Linked DNA regions of Drosophila melanogaster. The gene in region 1 interacts genetically with each later gene. Each region holds a gene or a part of one and is shown in the gene's direction. Other genes may lie near its edges.

Region 1 (7,585 bases):
TATTGTTTATAAATGAGTATTCAACATTATTTTGGTTTTTGAGCAATAAAGTTCGACGTCATTATTGTTATATCTGGTTTTTTTATGCAAAGGTCTTTAATCATTATTTTTACCTTTCCGATATTTTAAAGTAACTAAATCTGGCTATAATATATCGCCTCATTTGCAAGCCCTCATTTATTATCGATAAATATAAATTCCTTCTCACCTTCGTGAGAAAACGTAAACAATTTAAGAAAACAGAAAATGCCCTCGGAAAACAGGTGATTGCAGCATAAGTACTTGCAAAACTAATTTACGAAATGCAGCTATACTATTGCCACTCAACAGAATCAAAATCCTACCCAAGGCGGTGGTCTGCGAGGAGAGCAGCCTGCGCGGTGACATCACCTTCTCGTCGGGCTGTGTGGTTCATCCGAGTGCCACCGTTATCGCCGACGCAGGTCCCATAATAATTGGGGAGAATTGCATCATAGAGGAATATGCCACCGTAGCTCACCGCTTGGAGCCGGGCGCCGTTTGGGATGTCAACAATATCCTGAGCATTGGCACTCACAATGTCTTTGAAGTCGGCTGCCAAGTGGAAGCGGCCAAGATTGGCGATAAGAACGTCTTCGAGAGCAAGTGCTATGTGGGCCCCGGTGTCACTGTTTCCAGCGGTTGTGTGGTGGGAGCTGGAATAAAGATCCATGGTAGTCAACGCCTGCCCGAAAACACGATTGTTTATGGAGAGCAGGGCCTGCAGCGCGAGGCCATCGACAAGCAGGGATCGCAGACCCTGCAGATCGACTTCCTGCGCAAGGTCCTGCCAAACTATCATCATCTACGCAAGCCCAACTACGATCCCAAGAAGGCGCGCAGCGTGGTTTAGTTTTAAGTATTCTTTATACATATATATCTAATTTTCCACTTTCATTGCATTAAACTCGGCCATCTCCTTTTCGAACGTAACGATTGTATGATCACACAGACCCTCCAGATCCTCCAGTCCCCGTTTAAGTATATCTATGGCTCTGTCTCGACGGGATTGAATGCGGAAGTGCAGCTTCTGCTCCGTGGGATGCGGAATCGTGTAGCCACAGAAATCCACCTCCGGGTAGCGGGCTATGATCGTTTTCAGCGCATTTCCCAGCGTGTGGCCCTCGTTGGTGAACACAAAAGTACGAGATCCTTCGCCGTTTTTCTCATCACCAGCCAGCTGGGGAAAGTATTTAAGAATTAATTACTCACATTGCATATTTAATGCATTGTCTACCTCTGCCAATGCTCCCATTTTCAGTTTGTTCAAATACTCGTTCGTTTGTTTACAAAAAACGTGCAGGGCACATGCCTCGGCAATCGATGTTAGAGTCATCGAAACATATCGATTTAAGTAGCTAAGGACGGCTTATTCCAATTGGAATGCAATGTAGCTAAAAACTAGAGATGCCTATCCCATTTTGAATTTAAGTAAAACTTAGCCATATCTTCCCGAAAAAACTGTTAAATTTAAGTTGTGTATGTATAAAAGAGTATGTCTTCTGAAACATTCCTACTGTTTGCTTGTGCCAAGTGTCATACCAACATTGACTTTAATTCTTGAAAATCAAATGAGTTACTTCTAAGTAAATGCATAAATACCGTGGTAACGTCATCGATGTATCGATAGCGCGCCGATGTCTCCACCAGCTCCAGTTCTTGACGCGTTCTGACACGGACGCGGTTTTCAGACAGAGCATTGAATTGTGTGTGTTGCTTCTTAATTCGCTTTGTTCTGTGGCCAATTTTATTGGGCCAACTGCGAAATCAGTTTTGTGCGGTGTCGGCCAAAAAAAAGAAGAAAAAGTGTCGCAAACAGCCGCATTAGCATAATTGCAAGCCGCCTTCTGCATACGTGTGTGAGTGTTGGTTTGTTTGAAAGCATCAGCAGAAAAGGCGGCAAGGAAAGAAGCAGAGAGGCGAAGCGGAGCGAAGAAAACAAAAACAAAAAAACTGCAACGGCAAACATAATTATTTGCGCAATGCATTCAACGTGAAGTTGCTCCAAAAACACCGACACTCGGGAAAAACGCATACAACGACGAATCGGCAATTCATTTTACATGCTTTTTCGCCGTTTCCATCAGGAATTGACTGCAATACAGGTTTGTTTAATGCCCACCATGTGCTTATTAATAACATCGCATACATAAATAAGCGGTATTGAAAAGCTCGAGTTGTCATTTCAATTTTGTTGACGGCCACGCCCCCCATCTGGTTCCGAAAATTATGCAAATTCATGCGCCCTTTTATTTTTGTGCACGCACACAGCTGCAAACAGGCAGCTGCCTCTGCCGCCGTGCCGTCGACGCTGTTGCCCGCGAAGGCGGAAGTGATGGCTAAAAAATACCAGTTCAGAGGCTCAACTAAAGCTTTATCTTGTTCGTTACTGTGCCTCCTGTTCTGCTTTTCGTTAGTTATTGCCAATAATGTAGACTTTTATTTCCAAATTGTTAAATTTCCTAATTGGCACTTTGCATTCACGTTCGCAGTCTGCATCTTCAATTACCAATTACGAGAATAACAGTATTCGGTTTCTTAACATGTACTTTACGATTTATATGCATATAACCAAAAGGTTGAATACAATCAAATATGATCTTACGTAGTTTCCAGTAAAATTTTAAAAATATTTTTTATTTAATTTCGTTAATATGTATGGTTTTTTAATCCAATAAGATTTTTATAAATATTTTTCTCCCTAGGGTATGCAACACTTTATTGCAAAGATACCCAATAGCTCTTAGCCAATACTCACTGTATTTTGTTTCCACTGGTTGCTATGCTCTTCTCCCCTGCCCCTTGCCATTCCTCTCTCCGCTTCCTTCTCGGCATCCTGCTAACTCCTTTGCACTCATTTGTTCGGTGGTAGCTGACACACACACATGTACACACATCTGTTGTGCTTTGGTGGTGACTAATGCGGCAGCATGTTCCGTTATCTCATGCGTTCCCCCTCCTCGCGCCCACGCGCCGCAGCGCTTGTGTTGTAATAATCACTTTTCGTGTATGTATGGCAGTGCGCGCGAGTCTGTCTCACGTTTCGTTTGGCGCCATGCGTTCCCCCCAATTTGCAGTTGTTGCAATTTAGTCTAGGCTGCGTTCCTCTTCCATTTCGTTTCCCCCATTATGCTGGGCGCCCTTTTGCCTTGTTGTTTTTGTTTTTACATGGCCTGCAGTTTAAGTATGTATATATGTATGTATTGAGAGCCGGCGTTTTTGTGGCTCGTGTGTGAGTGAGAGCGAGGCAGCTGCTCTCTCCTGGCCGAAAAAAGTGGCTGCTCTCTCTCCTGGGCTAACTCTATTCTTGCTTTTATGGGTTTCTTTTGAGTTTGCAATTATTTTGGCTTTGTAGTGGTTACAACAAAGGAACTGCATATAACCGTCACGATCGTGGCAAAAAGGGAGAATACGAAAAAGAGAAGTGCGAAATGGTTCTGGGAATACGATCCAGAGGGCCCATGTAAATATGTATGTAAACACAACCTAATATATACATTCATACATACATATGTACATAGCAACAGCGATCTATGGCCTGTACATAGAGAAAATAACTTCCCTAGCATTTACTCGCGAAGCTGATTCGTAAACAATTCACCACCTCGTGTGTAATATATCTTTTCAACGTATAATAAACGAAAACTAGTAGAAAGTAATAAACGCATAGAAAAAGGATGCAGTACGGTAGACCATTTTAAAATTATATTAATTCAAAATACAAAAGTATTTTTTGTGTATAGCTGCGCACGTGAAAATAAATTATAAAAGAGGGGGAGCCCGAAATTTTAAGTCCTCCCAAGGGTGGTGTATATTCCACCTTGTGCCATGAATATTGCAAATAATCCACTTGAGGTACAAAATACCTGTCCACGATGTAGACACAGTGTGCTGACTTGACAAGGACAGGTTATAAATTGAATTTTAAAACAAAAATTCTATGTATAATGGTACTAAGGTTTTTACCGATTCTATTGGTAAATTAATAAATGCTTAACGAGTTTTTGAAAATAATTCTGTCAGTAAACATAGCAATGGTGTGTTCTTTCGATCATTTATCTATATTTATCAATGGTGCATGCAATATTTTTGTTGGGCCCACTGTGCCAGAAAGTTCCAAGGATGCTGCAGACATCGAAAGCCAAACGAAACGAAATAAAATAAAATACACAGACAGTTTTGGAGCGAAAGGAAGTGGAAGGAGTAGCTGAGGTGAAGAAGGGGCTAAAGGGGAGCCCCTTTAGCTCGAATGCAGACAAAAAAGGTGAAGTGGCAATGGCACAAGACGAAGACGAAGAGCACGAGAACAAGGAACAGACGGGAACACGGACACGACGACGTGATATTCCAACATCCTGTGCAGCGAGTCACGAAGGAGGTGGGGAGCGCCATAAAGCCGGAGAGCACAGCAAAGCAGGGGGCGGAGGAGAGCGAAAACCTGTCATCTGCTGCATTCGATGCGGGCCACGAATAGGGGGTGGGGGGAATCGAGGAGAAGAGAAGGAGACAGAGACGCAGAAGGATGAAGCTGCAAGCATTTTTAGAATTCCCAAAATCAACATAAAAACCAAGTAAAGTAACTACACAACAGGACAAATTTTTAAGCCGAAAAGTGCAATATTTGATTAATAGGTTCGAGTTTAGTACCATTACTGTTAATCAGTGCATTAATAAATTTATTTGATAATTTGTGATGTAATAAATTTTACAACAATGCCAATACTAAATAACACACAATCACTTGGTTGCACATTTAAGATCTATAGGAACAAGTGATACTTACAGCCACATCATTTTTTCCTCTGTAAGAAGAGCCAGTCAAAAGGAAGCTGCGCTGAGTCCCCTCCTCTCTCCCTCCTTCTTCTGTGTGCTTCTCTATGTGTGCGTGATCGCTGCCCAGACGCAGCAGCAGCGACGCCGGCAGAGAGACATAAAACAAACAAAAACCTCACATGCATTTTTCTCTTGTTTCGCCTTTGTTCGGGTTTCCTTGTTTTTGGTCTTCGTTGTGTCGGGTATCGAAATTTAGCCATATTTTAGGAGGATATAATAACAAACCGTAGATCATTTAGTTGTCATATGTATGTACATATACATGATACATGTATGTACATATGTATTGTATATTCCACATATTGTGTGAAAAATAGTTCTAATTATTGATTATTAAAGCTACATGGATTATAAGCCTAAAGTCTATGATGTTGGCTTAGAATAGCGAATCCTTCAACTAAGTTACCTAAATCTCGACATCCGCTGCTTCCGGGAACATTTAAGCCAGCAAAATTCGAAAAGAGAGTGGCTCTTGATTTCCGGCCTTTAGTTTCAGGTGAATTGAAAGGGAAATGGCGCTGTAAGCCACCCAGACATCCTTGTGGTTTTCGCAATTGAAATGCATGTTTTATTCGTGCATTATTTGAGCATTTTTTTTTTCACAATACGCTTGGAGGGATTTGCATAATACGCCGTAGGGCAGCCGTAAAATGTGTCCGATGCCGTCTGTTGCCGTTGCCATCGCCCATATTGCGGATGGGGAGTTCAAGTTGATGTTGTTGATGTTGTTTCGGTGGTGGTGGTTGCTGCTCGGTTCCTCAAAGGACTCGCACCGCATCCCCCGTGTGTGTGTGTGTGTGTGTGTGGATGTCCTGTGCCTAGTTTCGTTTCATTTTCGTTTCACTTTTTCCCTTTTCGCCCTGCTGCTTCCCGCTTTTATTGTCGAACTTTACAGCTGCCGCTTTCATTTCATTTTACTTTATTTCACTTTTTTCATTCTGTCCAACTTGCATTTTTCCCCCGGTTGTGGCTTATTTTTTTGGCAGGGTTGGTTTCCACTTACATACATAAATACGTATATGAATGTATGTAGAACTTGCGACGGCGTGTCGTATGCTCCTGACTTTGATCCTTTTCCGGGTGGGTGGGACCTCCGTCGTCTGGCCACCCACCCCTCGGCCGTAACATTAGGGAAAGTGTCTTGCAAATAAATAAATAGTCATGTCAGCCATATTATTAATGCCCGGGGAGAAAGGTTGGGTTGGAAGGCGGCTCAAGGTCTGCGCTCGCTTGGTCGGGCGGATGGGTGGGGTGGGTGCTAATCAACCCTCCTGGGCCGACGGCGAAGAAAAGGGGAACGCATCTTACCCCGAAATACAGGAACTCCCAATACAACAGTGGTAACTAGGAGTAGAGGAGCACATAGTTAATACCAAATACATGCTAAGTGTGACATTGGTTCAAAGTTTGGAAGTTAAACATATTCGATTTGAATAACATTCAATAGTTAGACTTGAATTTGAAATATAATGATTAATATTAATATTAAGTATATTCCAAATAATTGGTAATTATTCGTTGGGCAGCAAATGCGTTTGAATGGATTTTCAATCTTTTGAGTCGCAAGTCGAATGAATCCAATATCAAGGGCTAATCACCTTTGAAAATCAATCCAAAGCGGCGGGCGGGCGCTCACTGTACGCAATATATATGCGACTACGCATTGCTGTCTGTTCGCGTTGGGGTCAACAAACTTTTGGGCCAGCCCCCAGCATCAGTGCGTGTGTGTGTGTGTGTCTGGGTGCCTGGTTGTGTGCGTGCGGGCGTTCGGGTTCGTGTGTTGGTGAGTGCGAAAAGTGAACGATTTTCCAGCAGAGCTCAAGCCAAAAACCCCTGCTGAAATCGGCGGACACCAGCACGTTCTACGCATTTTTGTGCATTGACCCCAGACAGACGGAAGACCGCCCCAGCCAAAGCAGCACCCCCATGCCACATCAAACCAAACCAAACCAACCCAACTACCCTCCCCCATTCCCTAAAGAGCACAAGCACTCACATACACACACGCTTTGGTCCCCCTCACACGCACATCTGTTTGTTTGCATAGTACAATGGCAACCCTCGCTGATTTGATTTTCATATGCTGAATGGAATTTGAGGGTGGAATGGATGCGGCGCATTCAACGCCCTGCCGTCGTTGGAGAACACCTTTATCGGGGGGGGTTTTATGAATTTTGTTGTATTTATTATTTTTTACGATTCTATATATTAAAATGTGCAAACTGCTGTACACAGTAAGGAAATATTACAGGGAGCTAAGCCAAGCGCAAGTTTTAAAGTATATTTAAATTAATTTGAGATTGAGATTAATATAAAGACAGTTGACTTATTTAATTTTTAACATTTTCACTTGGTATATTAGGGTTTTACACCCATTTCTCGCATAATAAAACATACAAGTAACAAGTGAAGGCATTGCCAAATTGGAGTCCCCAATTATTTCCCCTTTTTCCTGATTACGCTGCTGGATCTTCGATTGCAAGTTTATGGCGGCATAAAAATCAAGAAGCACCTTTAATTGCACTCTGTGTAGAGAGCACTACCGCTCGCGAGCTTTTGTTTTAGTGTTATTTTACCTTTGGGGGTATGGACATAAAATGATTTTATTGCCTCCGCCCCCGCGAGGTTATTTTGGGTGTGGTTCCTCTGTACAGATTGATGGGTTTTAGTTGAATGATTGGAGAGAACGACCGGTTGGTTACTCAGTTTCCGTAGCCGTTCTGTCTTTGTTTTC
Region 2 (7,708 bases), on another chromosome or scaffold:
GAATTTATAAATATACCTCTATTAAATTTTATTATTATATATATTATTTATAATTATTATATTATTTATATATTAATTAACTATTATAGATTTATTATTTTGAATTTATGGTATGAAAAATTACTTTCCCGTTTTTATGTCAGATTGATTCTATTTGGATCAGAAATTTTTGTGATTTTGTAATTCGCATGTATATTTTTAAGTCTATACTTAATCCATTTCACCATTTTGCTTTGGTTTCTAACAAAATCCGTAAATTTTGTTTATCTTAAAATTTTATTATTTAAGTTTCTTTACAAACTTCATAATTCCTTGTTGATGTTTTTAAGTTTTGGGGAGAGCAACAGATATTGGATGCCCCTCGCAGGTAGCTGCGACGTCGACGTCGACGGCAGCAGAGCCGCACACAGTCGCACACGTGTGACATACATGAGTATGTGTGTTGTCCATTGACGTTGTCGTCGTCTGCTTTTCTGTATTTCTGCTTTTCTTTTTGCTCGCCAATCAAATGGGGCGGGGCTTAAATCGTTTGCTTCGCTTTTTTCTTCTTTTTTTGTCAGTCTCTTGCCCTCTGCTACTGCCGCTGCCTCAGTCGGCGTCTCTGCCACGGCTTTTCTTCTTCGACTTTTTATGTGACACTTGGCTATGTGTGTGCGATTTGGTTTTTATTATGCGAATTATCGAAAATCGAGAGCGCTTGTCTATATGAGTGCTTTTTGGGGCTTGAGCTAGTTTTAGTTTTTTTAAATTCTTATTTAATATGTTTGATTCAATTATTTTTAATAAAAAAACATTAATTGTCATTAAATTATAAAACTTGTTTGTTAAAAAAAAACCGGTTAAACCAAAAATCTATCCATTAATATAAGAACTATTCTTACTACCGGAAACTGAGTCAACATCTTGCATCCTCTTCAATGAAAATGAATTTTTATTAAATGTCCTGGAAATTTACAGTATGTTTAGCAAATCCAAACAATAATAGATATTTATAAAGCAAATCAAGAACATAAATAGCTTAAAAACATAAAACATAACATAGAACAGGTAAGGTAATCAACTTTTAATAAGTTGGATGTCTTGATGGAAGTTCGAAAGTATTTCGAAAACGAGTTCGAACCCCTTGCATTTTCGACTCAAAGACAGGAGAGCGAGTGAGTGAATATCTTGTGAGTATTTGGATTGAGTGGTTTCTTGAATTCCGCCGTTTTTAATCCAGTTGGAATTCTGCTGGTTGGCGGACACTTGTTTCTATATGGGCGATTTGTAGGGGTCTTCAATGCACTTATAATTTGTAATATTGCATAGTATGTATGTATATTTTAATATTTCTCGTCTTGTCATTTTTAAGAACGAATCTTTCTTTGTACTTCATTACTTTTACGAATTTCATCAGTCATTTTTTTTCATGATAATTATAACATGCAGTGATAATTTTTTTAAATTTGTAAGAACCATATATTGAATACTTGTATATTGCATTTTTGTATATAATGGCATAATGTATGTATTAACGAAATTATATAAAAATCCCTTATTGGTTTCCCCAATAATGTGTGGCTAAATTCCCTCACCTTTGTGGGTGGGTTGGCAGTTGGGGGTAAACTAGGAGCAATAAAATGAAATGAGTATTTTTTTCGGGGTGAGTACATTTTTCGACGCCGACGGCGGAACCGAGCATCGTTTTTTGTCTTCGTGTAGTTGGCGCTGCCCTTTCTCTCGGCTCTCCCGTTATTTTCGTTATTTTGCAAGCCGACGACGAAGTCCCCGAGCAGATCCAAGCCCCCAATATTCCCCGTACACCCCATTTACCAACAATTTTCCACCCAAATCCTAACCGCTTTTCAACCGATTTTCCTCTCAGACTGCAGCAACGCATCTGCGACTGCGACTTGGGTTCTCAGTCTCAGTTTAGGTGTAAGCCATAACCCCTTGGAAAATCCCAACCACATCGCCCCTCCCCGCCCAGCAGAAATCATGGGGTTTAGTAGAAAAATAGGGAGTGAGAATACCAAGGGGGTCGGGGGCGTCTGCATTGCACTTGGCGCTTCGATACAATTTGAACTTTTCTTTATGCGAAAATCCCGCAACGGGACTGCAAATTCCAGGGGTTTGCGGAAAAACACAAAATAACGGGAGGCTGAGAAGGGGCTTACTCTCCAATTTAATATTCCATGGATTTTTGAAGAGCCGAACAGAGACAGCCAGCCAAGGGACTTAAGTTAGGAATGCAATTTAAGGTGCATCATAAAGTGGCGGAAATTTGGAAAGGACAGATTGTTTCTAAATGTTACATTTACCTCTAAAAAAAAACATAAAAATTAAATTAAACAACAAAACATAGAATTGTTTGTTGCATTTAGCTTAATTTACACTTCGTATTTACTTTTTTATTTCCATCACTTTCTACTATTGTTTACTATGTTCGAACATTTGATGAATATAGCAGCTGCTTTTAATTCTAAGACTTATCTCGTGGAACTTTTAGTTCTTTAGTTCTTAACTTTAAAACTTATCAGTTTCAGAATAATACTTGAATTCCAGGTAAATCCCCCTAAAGCCAAAAAATATTACAACTTTCCGAAATATCCTCAATCTCAATCCCTCCGCCAGCGTCACAGTCGACGTTGCACTCAATCCTGCGCTCAATAAGCAACAACAACAAGCAGTAGTGGAGAGAGGCGAGCGCCTGGCTCTTTCGTTTCCAATAAGAAAAGCGATGTGCGAGCGGGAGGGCACTAGCCAAAGTGTCTGTGAATGAATGAATTTCAATACATGCAACTGACATGCGACGGCGCAGAAAAATGCTCAAAAATAAGAGTAAAAAAAAAAGCCGAGAAGGAAAGCGCAAAAAAAGTGAGAAAATCAAAAAGCTATTGAAAGAAATCAAAAGCAGTGCACGGGAATTGAGTGAGATTCTCTTGCGCGGAGCGTGAGAGAGCGAGCGAGAGAGTTGCGCTGCATGAGTGTGTTGTGTGTTTGTGGCGCCTCTGTCGCTGCCAACGCCGCTGTCGGCGCTCTCTGCGGCAGAGGGTTGTCGGCGCTTCGTTAACGTTCGATTTGTTCAGTCATCAACAGCATTCGTGACTGGCAACGTCGTTTCGTTCGTCCGTCGCCGAAAGAAATCGAGAATTTCAGAAGATTTTTGGATTCTACTGCCCCACAAGGCAGTGCAGCTTCTTCTTCTTAGCCGCGGCGCGGGTGTGTGTGCGTGTGTGCCCCTCTCTCTCACTGTGTGTGTACGTCGTGTGTGTGTGTGTGCAGAAGAATCCCCCCACCCACTTCATACAAAAAATTCATAAAAAAATAATTGCAAAAGAATGAATCTCGCTTGCCAAGAAGAAGAAACGTATTGATCATATTTATAAACAAAACAGCACACAGCCAAACAAATCAAAAAGGACTAAACGAACGTATAATATAACTGTTTATTATTTTTTTCAAGTGCATTTTTGTTCGCTAAAATATGTGCGCGTGTATGAGTGTCAAGTGTAAACAACAACAGCAACATCAAAAGCAACAACAGCGACAGCAAACATGTGCAAAATAAGCCACAGCCAAAAAGCAACAACATAATGATAATGGCTTGAAAAAATCACACACACAACAACAACAGGCAACAACCAAAACAACAACATCATACCCTCACCATTCAACAAACGACTACAACAAAATCCCCCACACAACAACAAGAAGAAACCCCCTTCCAAAAAAATCAAAAAAAATTCTTTTTCGGAACTAAAGTGAACAAAATATAAAACATAACATAACCATAATAATAATAATAATAACACACAGAAATTGGCTTATTTATGCATTTTTTTGAGCACGTAACAAGAAACATACTACTTAAGGTGTAAATGTGATGACTAAAAACGAAAACCGAATTAAATAACAACTAACTAACAAGTAAAATCGAAACGACAACAGAACAGAATAATGCCAGGCCTTATTAGCCCCAAATTGGTAGAATCCAAAAACTGAAAACCCCAAAAAAACCTAAGCAAAAACTGACTGAGAATTATTGAATTAACCCAAGAAAGCCCACGAATGCAGCCAACATTGCCACAAGCCGCTGGGACAGCCGATATGGATCTGACGGCTGTTCAATCAATCAACGATTGGTTTTTCAAAAAGGAGCAAATTTATTTATTGGCACAGTTTTGGCAACAGGTAAGAAAAGTTAGCAAAACGATGGAAAACGGTGCTTAAAAGCAAGAAGTTTCGTGTTTCAAGAATAATAATATGAATATAGTTCAATGAATTGGCCAAACAAGCTGAGATTACGGGTTCGTAAAATGTTCGGTGCAAAAGTGTTTTATCTTCTGTTCTCACTTTTATTCGCATTGACAAACAGTCTTACGTTTATATTACATGCAAGGTGTATCTTATTTTTGTCAACAAAAAGATGAAATTACACCTGTTATATGTAGCATAAAATTTGATACTTGCGTTTTCTAACTTTATATGAATGAAATGAATTCGATTCATACAGTATTGTGTATTCAAAGTGAAAAGTTTAGGGAGCGTAACGCGAAAAGCCCGAAAGCCTTTAAAACGTTATAAGCTAAAATTAGAACTTTCCATACATTGATTAGACTAAAAAGTCATATACAAATTTGCAATTATCATTGTAACTAAACAGTGAATAGTTCCCGAGTTCTGTGATATTCGTTGCATTTCACTGGAAACTCCCACAGCTGACAACAATAACCCTAGTGCGCCCAGCCGCCCACTTTAACCCCACACAGCCCCCATATTTTGGCCCCGCAAACTGCTTAACTTAACTTAAGTTAACTAATTGAGTTTGCGTGTCTATGGCAAATGTGTTTTTATTGTTGCTGGCCCGTTATTGTTGTCTAATTTCTTGTTGTAAATTTATTTATTTTTTCTGCTATTATTGATTTCTGAAAAAAAATTTGTTTGCACAAAACAAAAACAACAAATGCAAAGTGCAACAAGCAAGTAATAAGTGAACAGTTTATTGCTTGAATAACTTTTTTTTTTTTTGAAGCGTTTTTTTTTCTGTTTTCTACTACCAGTGAACCGAAAAAGATAAAGCCAGACAAGATCGGCCAGACGGAAGAGACAATTCAGATGGGGGTTTCGCTGTAAAAGGGGGCGTGGAAAATCGGGAGGCGGGGGCCAGACGATGCTGAGAATTTCGCTGGCCAAATGCCAGACTCCGAACAAATAAGGCGGCAAAATAACATTAGAGGCCAAAAAGGGGAAAAGAAAATCATCTGCCAGACCAGACATGGAAATATCAACTGCTGTATATATTTTTGAATATTTCTATATATAAAAATACTCTCTATATGGTTTGGCAAGTTAATTAGGTTGCGTCGACAGCCGGGCAAATTTTTTAATTGGAGTTTCTTCTTCGATTGATCGTGAAAAGCGAGAGACGCGCACAGTGAAAGACAGACATGGAAAAATTCCCGGAAAATCTAGACATTTGCCGTCGGTGAATGGCGTTTTTTCCCGCTCCACAAATATTTTTGTACAAGATATGGCGATGCAAACTGCAATCAATAAAACTTAAATAAGCAAAACCAAAAGCTATCCTATCGACTTTTTCCGGAGAACCACAACAAAGGCAAAAAGATGAGAAGCCGCAGAACTCGTTAGGATTACTTGAAGTCAGTGGTGTACACAGGATTTTATGAATGGGGCTTTGCTGATCTCAAATAGAACCGGTTTTTATTTAATTAAATGCATTTGCTTGTTATATTTAAATGTTAGATATGTACATAGTGATAGAGCATAGTGTTGGCGGCCTAAACGAAAACACAAAACCCCATCTAAAGGCGCCACTGTTTTGGGTTCTTTTTTCCTCTTTCCTAACGATCATTTAATGGCTTTCAAAAGCTTCAAGTCTTCTATAACTTTCAAGATCCCTCAACCAATGATCGATTGTGATCAATGAATCAATATTTGAAAGGTTTCGTCATGCCTTCGCATGCTGATCAACAAAACAAAATTAGAACTCGATCCATAAATACCATTTCTCTGCGGCAGAAAAAAAGGTTATTCAACATAACTAAATTTGCCAACCAAAAATAGAAGCTTATTAAATAAATTAAACAAACCGCAGACAGACGTCTACAGCTGTCCAAATGAGTTGATAAAACAATTTTTATAGTATTTCACTTATTTATTTATTTACATTTCAAGAACAGAGCGCGCGCGAAAAAATTGACACAAATCGAATTCGAAAAAGCAACAATAAAAATGTGCTTGATTAACACAAAGTTTTGTCATTAAATATATAGAACGGTGGCACCGAAAAAACGATCACAAAAAATTGAAAAAAAAAACAAGTGCAAGAACAAAAAGCAGAAGCCAAAGAAGAACCAAAAGTTAAAAAGAGCAAAATTAATTTCCGTAATGCAATCTATAAACTTGACCCATTAACATCGAACAGATTTTTTGTTTAGCTTCTACAATTACCGAAATCCGAAAAACCATAAACCGAAAACTAGATGAAAGATGAGGTTTTTGTCATTGATTTGTGCTGATTCAAACTAGAAAAAAAAAAGATGGAAATGGAAAGACAACAAAACCGAACTAATTGCCAAATGCATTTGCTGACTTAAAAAATATTAAAAAAAAAAAAATAGAAAAGTTGAATTGAAAAGATGAGAGTAAATCGAGTTTGGGTTCCGTTTTAATCGAATTGAAACCGGTTTATAGGGTAGTCACCACCACCATAGCACCATCACAGATGCAGATACGGATATAAAATACGAAATGCGGAATACCGGGGACGAGCATTGATAGTTTATAAAGTTTAATTTTCAAAGATGGCGTCCCGGCATTTGCATATGCCGAAAATGAGCAGCCAAGGGTTGTCCCTTAAGCCCTTGGAAGCACACGGATACCTTGTACACATATACGATATCATACCATGCTATACCAAACCATAGATACCATATTGCCAGATACAGTATACAGATAGAGATCAGATCGGTGGACTGAGCGGCGGCGTGTGTCGTATAATTTTTAGCGTTTTAAGTGCAATTTACTCGCTCTCTGGCAGAGAAGCCAGCTAATGAGTCACAGAAACCGAAACGTGGATGAATGGGGGGGGGGGGGTGTTTGAAAAAGGGGTTATACCAAGAATCACAGACCGAATTCAACCACCCACACAGCACACAGATGCATACATATGTATGTAGACACACACGCATGGTATATGAAAATATTTCAGTCAGTTCAATCGTTCGATCGCTGGAAAGATATGTTAATATAATTAAATTAATTTGTCAGCACGGAAATTAAAACAGAAGCGGCATCGGCAGCAGCAGCAGCAAAAACAGAAACCGAAATGTCCATCACATCCACATCGGTACACATACATAGTATCTATAACAAAATGCGACGAACGAATCGAAACGATACTATACTATACCATACTATACTATACTATACGAACCGAACGAAACGAAACGAGACGAATCGAAATGAAAATCGAACAATTAAAAGCTTGTGGTGGGTGGGTGGAGATGGCGATCTGAACCCGAGAACTCGAACTCGATCTGAACTACCACGCAACTAATAATGTGAAATAAAAAATCATTTGGAAATTATTATTAAAAATTGAGTTCATGAACTATGTGTGTCCGTCCCGTCCGTCTATGCCAACATATGTGTATCTGTATCTGTGTGTGCTCGATCAATTTTTATTATGATTATTTGCTATTTC
Region 3 (7,629 bases), on another chromosome or scaffold:
AATCCATCCGTATTCCGTTAACCACTGACAACTTCACGGAAAATGGTAACTTACTGACTTGCAATTAAGGCGACAGAATCCCACTAGTCAAGTGGCCAAAAGGACATGCCTGCCAGCAAGGACACCGACGGCGCTGATATTCAGTCCATCCGCCGAGCAGCCAACTCCTGTCGCCCGCAGGCGGTGCTCCCAAGTGGGCGTGGCCAGCAAGCCTTGCGCCGACTGTCGTCCCGTTTAATGTAGTTGTAAATGCATAATGAGCCGTTCAGAGTCCCTTACCACCGATCGAGCCGGTGATTTTTTAAAGCGGTTTAATGTGCGCGTAACCCTCTTTTTCCACAGCCAGCTCTATATACATTCTTGATTTTACTTTAACGGCAACATGGCGTACGGATTTTTTTTCTTTTTTTTTGCGATTGGTCCGTACCTTTTTTATTGACTGCTTTTATATTATTATTTAAAAATTAATTATACGCCACGTTGGCTCGTTTGGGTTTTTGCCGCATTACTTCGTCGCGTTTTTACCGGTCGATTCAGTTTTTAATTTATATATAATATATTGACTTGCCGCTACCCGACACCACCGCGGCATATATTAAAAAATAGTTAACGCGTATTAATTTAAACTTACTTTGGCATCTCTTAGTGCGTTTCTGATAATTTTGAGGGCACATTTAAGGCTTTAAAGTAAATACGCCTTGAATCCATGGATAAGCGCCTTTTTTTCCGGTCGTTACTTATTGATTTGTATCCCCTTTTATTTTTATTTTTTAACAAATTACAAACTACGGAAATTCATTCATTCACCATTGTTTTAACTATATTTTGTGGATTCAAAGGAAATAAAAATGTACATGGCTTTAATGATTTGAGTAAGAGTACCTTCTATTCCACAAATCCCCCTTATTTTTGTTCAGTTTGACATTTCCGGCACGGAACGAAGTCCAAGACCAAGACCAAGACCGAGTCCAAGTGAGATCGTGTACGCGAGACTCATAAAATTGTTGGCCATTCGAACGTTTTTGTGCCGGACCAGCCATTGAAAAATAAAACGCGGCCAGCAAAGGGAAATAGAAAGAGACAGATGGTCGGGCGAAGAATGAGATGGAAAATGTGGGGGGAGCGCATCGAAAAAATAGAGAAAAATCAAGCGGATGGCTGGAATTTCATACTGTTGGCTTGGCAGAAGTGTGAGTGTGTTATCCTTTGACAAGGAGCATAAATGTGCGAGCTCCTCTCCAGCGTCCTTTGTACCTTCCGGCTGGGTGGCCAAGTCGATGTGTTGGCCATTTTATTATATTTGCTCTCAGACATTTTTGCCCTAATACGAAAATGGGATTTTAGGATATAAAAATTATGATAGATTACCGTTTCGCTCCCACACACCCAACTGCCATCCACCAATTGCATTTTTTTGCAATCGCTACACACACACTCACTACTATCCTTGTGTTTGTTTACACTGGGAAATTTATTCCAGCACGTTCTTCGGTTCTCTTAAAACTTACTAAAAACGGAAGCCTTTCTATGTGAAAACATCCTTAAAAAAGAAAACCACTATATCTGCTATATGGTAACTTAATACCCATGTTGATTTTTTATGTTATTTTCTCAGTGTTATCCCCGTCACATGCAACTTCGTGGAAATTGCGCTGGCTTAGCTGGGTAAAATCATTTGATGATAAAAGTGGCCCTCAATTGCCTTGTTGCTTGTTGCACGTCGTTGGATCTCCCCTCATCACGTTGTTATTAAATTGCAATGGCAAAAAGTTGAAAAAGCAATATGTGCAAAACATGGTTGAACTGAGCATGTGAAAAGCACTGGACTCGGAAAATCAGCTGACACACCTCTAAAATAGCAATCGCGCGGTTTGAGTGTTGTATTATAAAATGGCAAACTATCAATTGGTCATTGATTTTATTTTCTAACGCAGGTTACAAACATGCATTCCTAAATTGACCCACCAATTTATGGTGAAATAATGTAATTCATAACAAAAGGTGTTATTGTTACAATTATTATTATTATTTGTATTTGTATAATACAAAAGAAACCGTTAATCATAGATAAATAACGGTCGTTTTCAGAACTGCAGCTGGCGCCATCTGTTATTATTTATGAACACTCCAACGCAAACAAAGCTTTTAAGCTTTTATTACATTAACAGTAGCGCCTAAAATTAACGGCCAAATCTAGAGCTTAACGATAGCGCCATCTATTATATTTTAAGCGAACTATCACTTATCAGTAATGTTTTGCAATGCTAGGTTTTATGGTTCTGTTAAACGAATTTAAAAAAATATAAATTATAAAAATTTCTAACTGGAAATTTCCATTCGGAGTGGTTTTTAGTATTTTTTGGAGTTTCGCTTGTATAATCATTGTTATTGTTGGCCTCCTTAAGATACTTTCGTGGTCACTATTGTATGAACTAGATAGAATGAATCGAAATTTTAACAAACTACGATGTTATCTGTGGTTTTTAAAATACATATGTAGATAAGTTAATAATGGTATAGCGACATTCTTTGTTAGTTTTATATGCACACTTTACTTCAATAATCCAACAATTTTCTCGTATATGTCGATAATACCAATATTAATGCAGCCACGATTCCGCCGTATGGTTTTTTTTTACTGACTTAACTGAAATTACAATTGACCCTGGCAGCAATTGAAATCGTGTTGCAACTTTTCATACGACACTTTCGCAAATTTTAGACAGTAAACACAAGCCGACACTTCAACAATAAATTCGATATAGCAAACCAAACCCAGTAATTAATGTGTGTCATATTTGCACAATTGAACAAGATCTTTGAACATTAGTGCAATATATATTATGATTTCAACAGACAGCAGTGCAATAAAGCAAATCTAATTAAAATTCGAGTGCCACCCAGGCGACAAATGAAACAGCGGTAAAATCATTAGGTGATAAAATCAGAGTCAAAAGGCGAAAAAAGCCTAAGGATCCACCACACCGACTACCGAGTCCCCTTCCCCATCGTTTCAACTCAGTGCATTTGAAATGACCCGGAATTCATTGGATTTATAAATTTTTCTTCGCCACTTGCCAAGTGCAGCCGACTGGGACGCGATGGTCAGCAATCGAGTTGCCTTCTTTGAAAGCTGAAATTATTATTTTTTAATTGGCCAGCAACAAATTGCTTCATGCATTTGTGTGTGCCGCCCAGAGGTCACTGCGATTAACCAACCGCTCAGGTTTTGTGTGACTCCAAGTGAAGTACAACTCAGCGCCAAAGCTTCTCTAAGGCTGCAACGATTAATCAAATACGGTGAAACCCCGAAATGAAAGTCTTGCTAGATTAAAATTAAAAAGAGAATACAAACAAACCCATTTTTGTATAGTCCTTTTGTAAAGCATAAAAATTTACAAATTATAGTTAAATAAAACAGCAGATTACCTAATATCAACGTTAAATAGTGTTTAAAGTTATTGATTTTTATATAAGAAATAAACTAAAAACCTATTAAAAATGCATTTTAGATTTCATCCTTTTTAGCGAGGGGCCACTGTAGCCGTCTGGGCCTACCAAAGTGACTCAGTGGAGCAAATGTCGCGTGCTGCCTGCGTGCGGGTGCGAGCGGGAGGGCAGCACCGGACACTCTCCTTCTCCTTCTCCTTTGGGCCGCCCGCTGCTAGCAAGTTGCCTCCGGTGTTCGCAGAGCCGCGATTTCAGCGCGAGTTCAGTTTTTGATTCAGTTTCAGGCGGTTCGGAGTTGCTAAGTCAAGCGCAATAGCTCAAAATACACTTTTTTTAATTTTTGTTAATAACTGTTTTTAATAATTCCGGTGAAACATCGCGTGGTCAAGCGAACTGAGTTAATTTTCGCGTTAGAAAAGTTCACAAGTTTTGCGTTTACCAAATAATTAACTATAACTATTTAACTGGAGCTAATTTAACTGAAATTTAGAACCCAAAATGGGTAATTCCAGTTCCATTTGCGCCGATCGCAATGTCATAACAAATTTCGATGAAAATGGGTAAGAAATGAAATGGAAAAGTGAACAAACTGAAGCTGAACTCAAGCGATTGGCAAAAGAGGATTTCGAAAATGCGAGAGTTGGCCAAAGAGTTTGTGTTTACTAATGCGCAAACATGTTTGTAATTAATTTGTTTATTTTTATTGTTACTAAAAACTAATAACTGAAAGATTAGGAAATTATATTTTACATAAAAAAGTTATTTATAAAAAACCATTACAAATTCTTAACATTTTTTGTTTCGATACTTAATATATTTAAGTAGATCCTTTCCTGCAACTACAAGTTTTTTCTTGTGCAAATGCAAGCCAAGCCACCGCCCTCAGCCCCGCCCCTCCAATAATTTGTTTCTCGAGGTGTCATTAGTGGTCAATGATTCGTTTTACTAGTGTTTTATCAACGATTTACAGGCGACTCGTCGGCGTTGCGATAAAAAAGAATAACTTCTGACACACGCCATCGATAAAAAATTAGAGCACCACCTTCTTAATTAACGATTTTCGAAGTAAAAAGAAAAAAAAAAGTTAGAGCGACAGGTGTGTTTTGCTCACGAAGGTACTTGGAAAATGTAATTCGTTGGCAAAGCTGAAGTAAATTGTTAATATTTATGAAGGTTGCTCGGGCACACACACAAACATGTGTGATATATTCCAATTTATTCGCCTGCCGTGTTTTACTTTCAATTTTTGTGTAATAATTGAATATATCAAACAGACATCCGAGCAAAAGCGGAACGGGCCCACCGGTCGTATGAGTGAGTCAAGTGCAAAGTGGGGCGGGAACTGAAGCGATTCGGGACACTGAAGGTTAAGGTTGGGGTTTGGGGCTTCTACCTTGAGGCGTCTCTTTAAATAATTTATACTTAGTCAGATGCCACAAGTTCAGGAGGTATTATTGGTTTATATTTAACGCCATCGAGTCTAATAATCTCTAATAGAAAAGGTTCGGTTTATTTAATTCAAGTAATGCACGCACGTTGTACTTAAGTTTACATTAAAATCAAAGCTACTGATTATAAATAATAGTAGATAAGAAATTGCTAACTGCAATACTCTATAGTCTAATTTGAATACTATTATTTCGACCGCTGCTGTTCTCACGGAAACTTTTCGCATGCTATTCACGCCGCATCGCAATGTTTTCCAGGTCCCAGACAAATGATTTGATGGTAATAATCGTTGTTTAATGGCGTTTATATGTGCAGATAGTGTTTGCACCGCCCTTATCAGTCAGCTGATATACCCCACACAACTGAAACTAATCGGAGAGAAAGAGCCAAAGAGCGCGGAAACAAAACAAAATCGCAAAGTGTATACATATGGTGGTAGCAAAACAAATCGAATACTGCGGTTCAGTTCAGCACGAAAGCTGCAGCAACGCAGACAAAAGTCAAATACTCAGTGAGATAATTGTCGGCAAATCAATATACTAATAAGTATATAATATAGAAGACTTTTAAGAGCACCGCCATGTACTCGATCCTACGACGCTGTTCTGGTATCAGAAAAACTTTTGGACCGTGAGTCGAATGCAAGAATTTCAGAATAACAAGTATAATGTGGTGTCATACGATTGGACCACAGATCAAGAGGGTGTGTTTCTGAATTGGCAATAATCAGTGTCACTTTGGCACCACTTATCGGTTTCCATCTGGAAGGCGTGTCTGCGATGCATCGCCTCATCATATGACCATGCACATACGTTCAAACATATCAGCGCATTTCAAAGGTTCTGAAAACCTTGATAAGGAATCTGAAACGAAGAGTACCCACCCTTTAAGGGCCTCTTTTAACCCTAAATACCATTTTATTGCTCTACGACTTTTTGGCTATTACAAAAAGCTTTTTATGGTGAAATTCATATATTATTATATACTGTTATATAATATACTATTCAAATAAGATATATATACTATTAAAATGTAATATATATATTATTAACAATTGTTAGTGTGGGAACGTGGAGTGTGTACGATTAAAATTCAATTAAAAATGTTAACATCGGTTCTTTCAGAAAGAGTATCCGAATGTTGGTGACGAATTGGTTGTTATTGTCACTCCCGCATTGACATTCATTCACATATTGTCTGCTCTCTCTCTCTCCCTCAGCACGCCGGTTTATCCCACCGCCAACAATTCGCAGAGTCCTTCCTCATATAGTCGCGGCAAAGAGCGCGAGCTCGGCTGTTACACGAAGAGAAACAGCAACAGCAACAACAACAATAGCCATGAGAGAGAGAGTCAGAGCTGTTGTAGTAGTCGTGTGTGTAAAAATCATACGACCACAACGACAACCACACTCGAATACGAACTTTCCAATTTCGCAAAACTAACGACACGAATCACAACGCAAAGTGCCGCCGAAGTGGACACATCGCCGCATACGGATACGGAAACGCATAGGGACAGAGATTCGAATCCGGGTAATATAGCCTTAGCCACCGATTTGGAACTGCCCAAGGGTCTGCCGTTATCGTTATCCTCGCGACACCACTGGAATCAGCTGCAGAGCAGTTTGCACGCCCTTCACCACCAGCAACAGCAACAACAACAGCAACTACGTTCATACAGCTCCACTAGCGAAACAAATTTGGAAGACAAGATGAGCAAACCCGATTCGAAACTAGATAAATACGCGCAGCGCGATCGCCTGGGCCTTTGGGGCACTGGTGACAATGAGGTGGTCGGCAGCCTCTCCGGATTCACCCGACTCTTGGACAAGCGCTACTCAAAGGTGAGTTCCACAAGTAGGAATATGCGAATACGCTTTTAAGTTGCCCAGTTCCGTGAACTTAGTGGAAAAATACCAGGCAAAGGTTTTTAAGGGTGGGTTCGCATTCGGTTTTTTTTTCCGCTCCCCATATCGGCGAATTGTGTTAGTGAACCGTGTTTGGGTAAATATTTAGAGGTAGAGTCATAATTATAGACTATTAGAAGAAGTTTAATTGGTCTAGAATTTGAAGAACTTAAGCCTTACCTTAGAACTTACCTTAGCCATCCATATGTATCTGAAAGATATTTACTAATAATCGTTAATTATGTGAAATTTCGCTAGAAGTGAGTTCCAATGTTGGAATTTCTTCTTGAAAAAGTGTGAATTTATTCTAGGCCACCTGCTATTTTTACCACAAGCACGAGAATAAAAAAATTCCAAATCATAAATACATAAATAACTATTAGGCGGAAACGTCAGCTGCTGAGTTCAGAGCGAAAAAAAGATACTTTTTGGCAGTGGCTTCATTTTTCGGCAAGTGGTGTGGGTGACCTTTAGATGACATAGCGAGTGAAAGGGATGGCAAATGGCACACGCGCCACTCTGGAAGACCAAAGCTCATTGTTTTTGTCAGTTTTTTTTGTTGCTTTTTTTCATTTTTTTTCTGGTGCCTTAGCCGAAGAAAATCGATAGACCAACTTTTATAATTGAGGCAATTAGCTGTCTGTGGCACATGCCGAAATTGTACGGTATGAAATAGTTGACACGAATCGGTCACGCAGATTTCGTTTACAAATTTATCTCAGATTGCATTTTCAAGTTCAATGCTTGTGCAGTTTTTCAGCTTGCATTGGCTTCTACGCTTTTTTCCCACGCAGACATGAATGAGCTAATGCACGAATTGTTT

What was found. A genetic interaction does not mean that the proteins touch.
Region 2: of brat (region 1) and ct, changing one suppresses a phenotype caused by changing the other (phenotypic suppression), as found in Drosophila melanogaster (one study listed by BioGRID).
Region 3: of brat (region 1) and Men, changing one suppresses a phenotype caused by changing the other (phenotypic suppression), as found in Drosophila melanogaster (one study listed by BioGRID).

What each region holds. Positions count from the first base shown.
Region 1 is NT_033779.5:19,132,154-19,139,738, forward strand, and holds the start of brat (brain tumor), read left to right. Parts: upstream 1-1,668; 5' UTR 1,669-2,123; intron 2,124-2,776; coding exon of another isoform or gene 2,777-2,827; exon of another isoform or gene 2,828-3,080; intron 3,081-7,585. Other genes in the region: DCTN6-p27 (dynactin 6, p27 subunit), read left to right, coding at 247-263, 331-871; Polr1D (RNA polymerase I and III subunit D), read right to left, coding at 899-1,198, 1,621-1,668, 2,777-2,827. UniProt on the Drosophila melanogaster protein: A NHL-domain family protein that functions as a translational repressor to inhibit cell proliferation.
Region 2 is NC_004354.4:7,605,366-7,613,073, forward strand, and holds the start of ct (cut), read left to right. Parts: upstream 1-3,782; 5' UTR 3,783-4,050; coding exon 4,051-4,173; intron 4,174-7,708. UniProt on the Drosophila melanogaster protein: Regulator of cell fate decisions in multiple lineages. Specifically, functions as a determination factor that specifies sensory organ identity in precursor cells. Probably also involved in cell type specification of Malpighian tubules.
Region 3 is NT_033777.3:12,718,517-12,726,145, reverse strand, and holds the start of Men (malic enzyme), read left to right. Parts: upstream 1-3,703; 5' UTR 3,704-3,948; coding exon 3,949-4,010; intron 4,011-5,361; exon of another isoform or gene 5,362-5,479; coding exon of another isoform or gene 5,480-5,529; intron 5,530-6,118; coding exon 6,119-6,743; intron 6,744-7,629.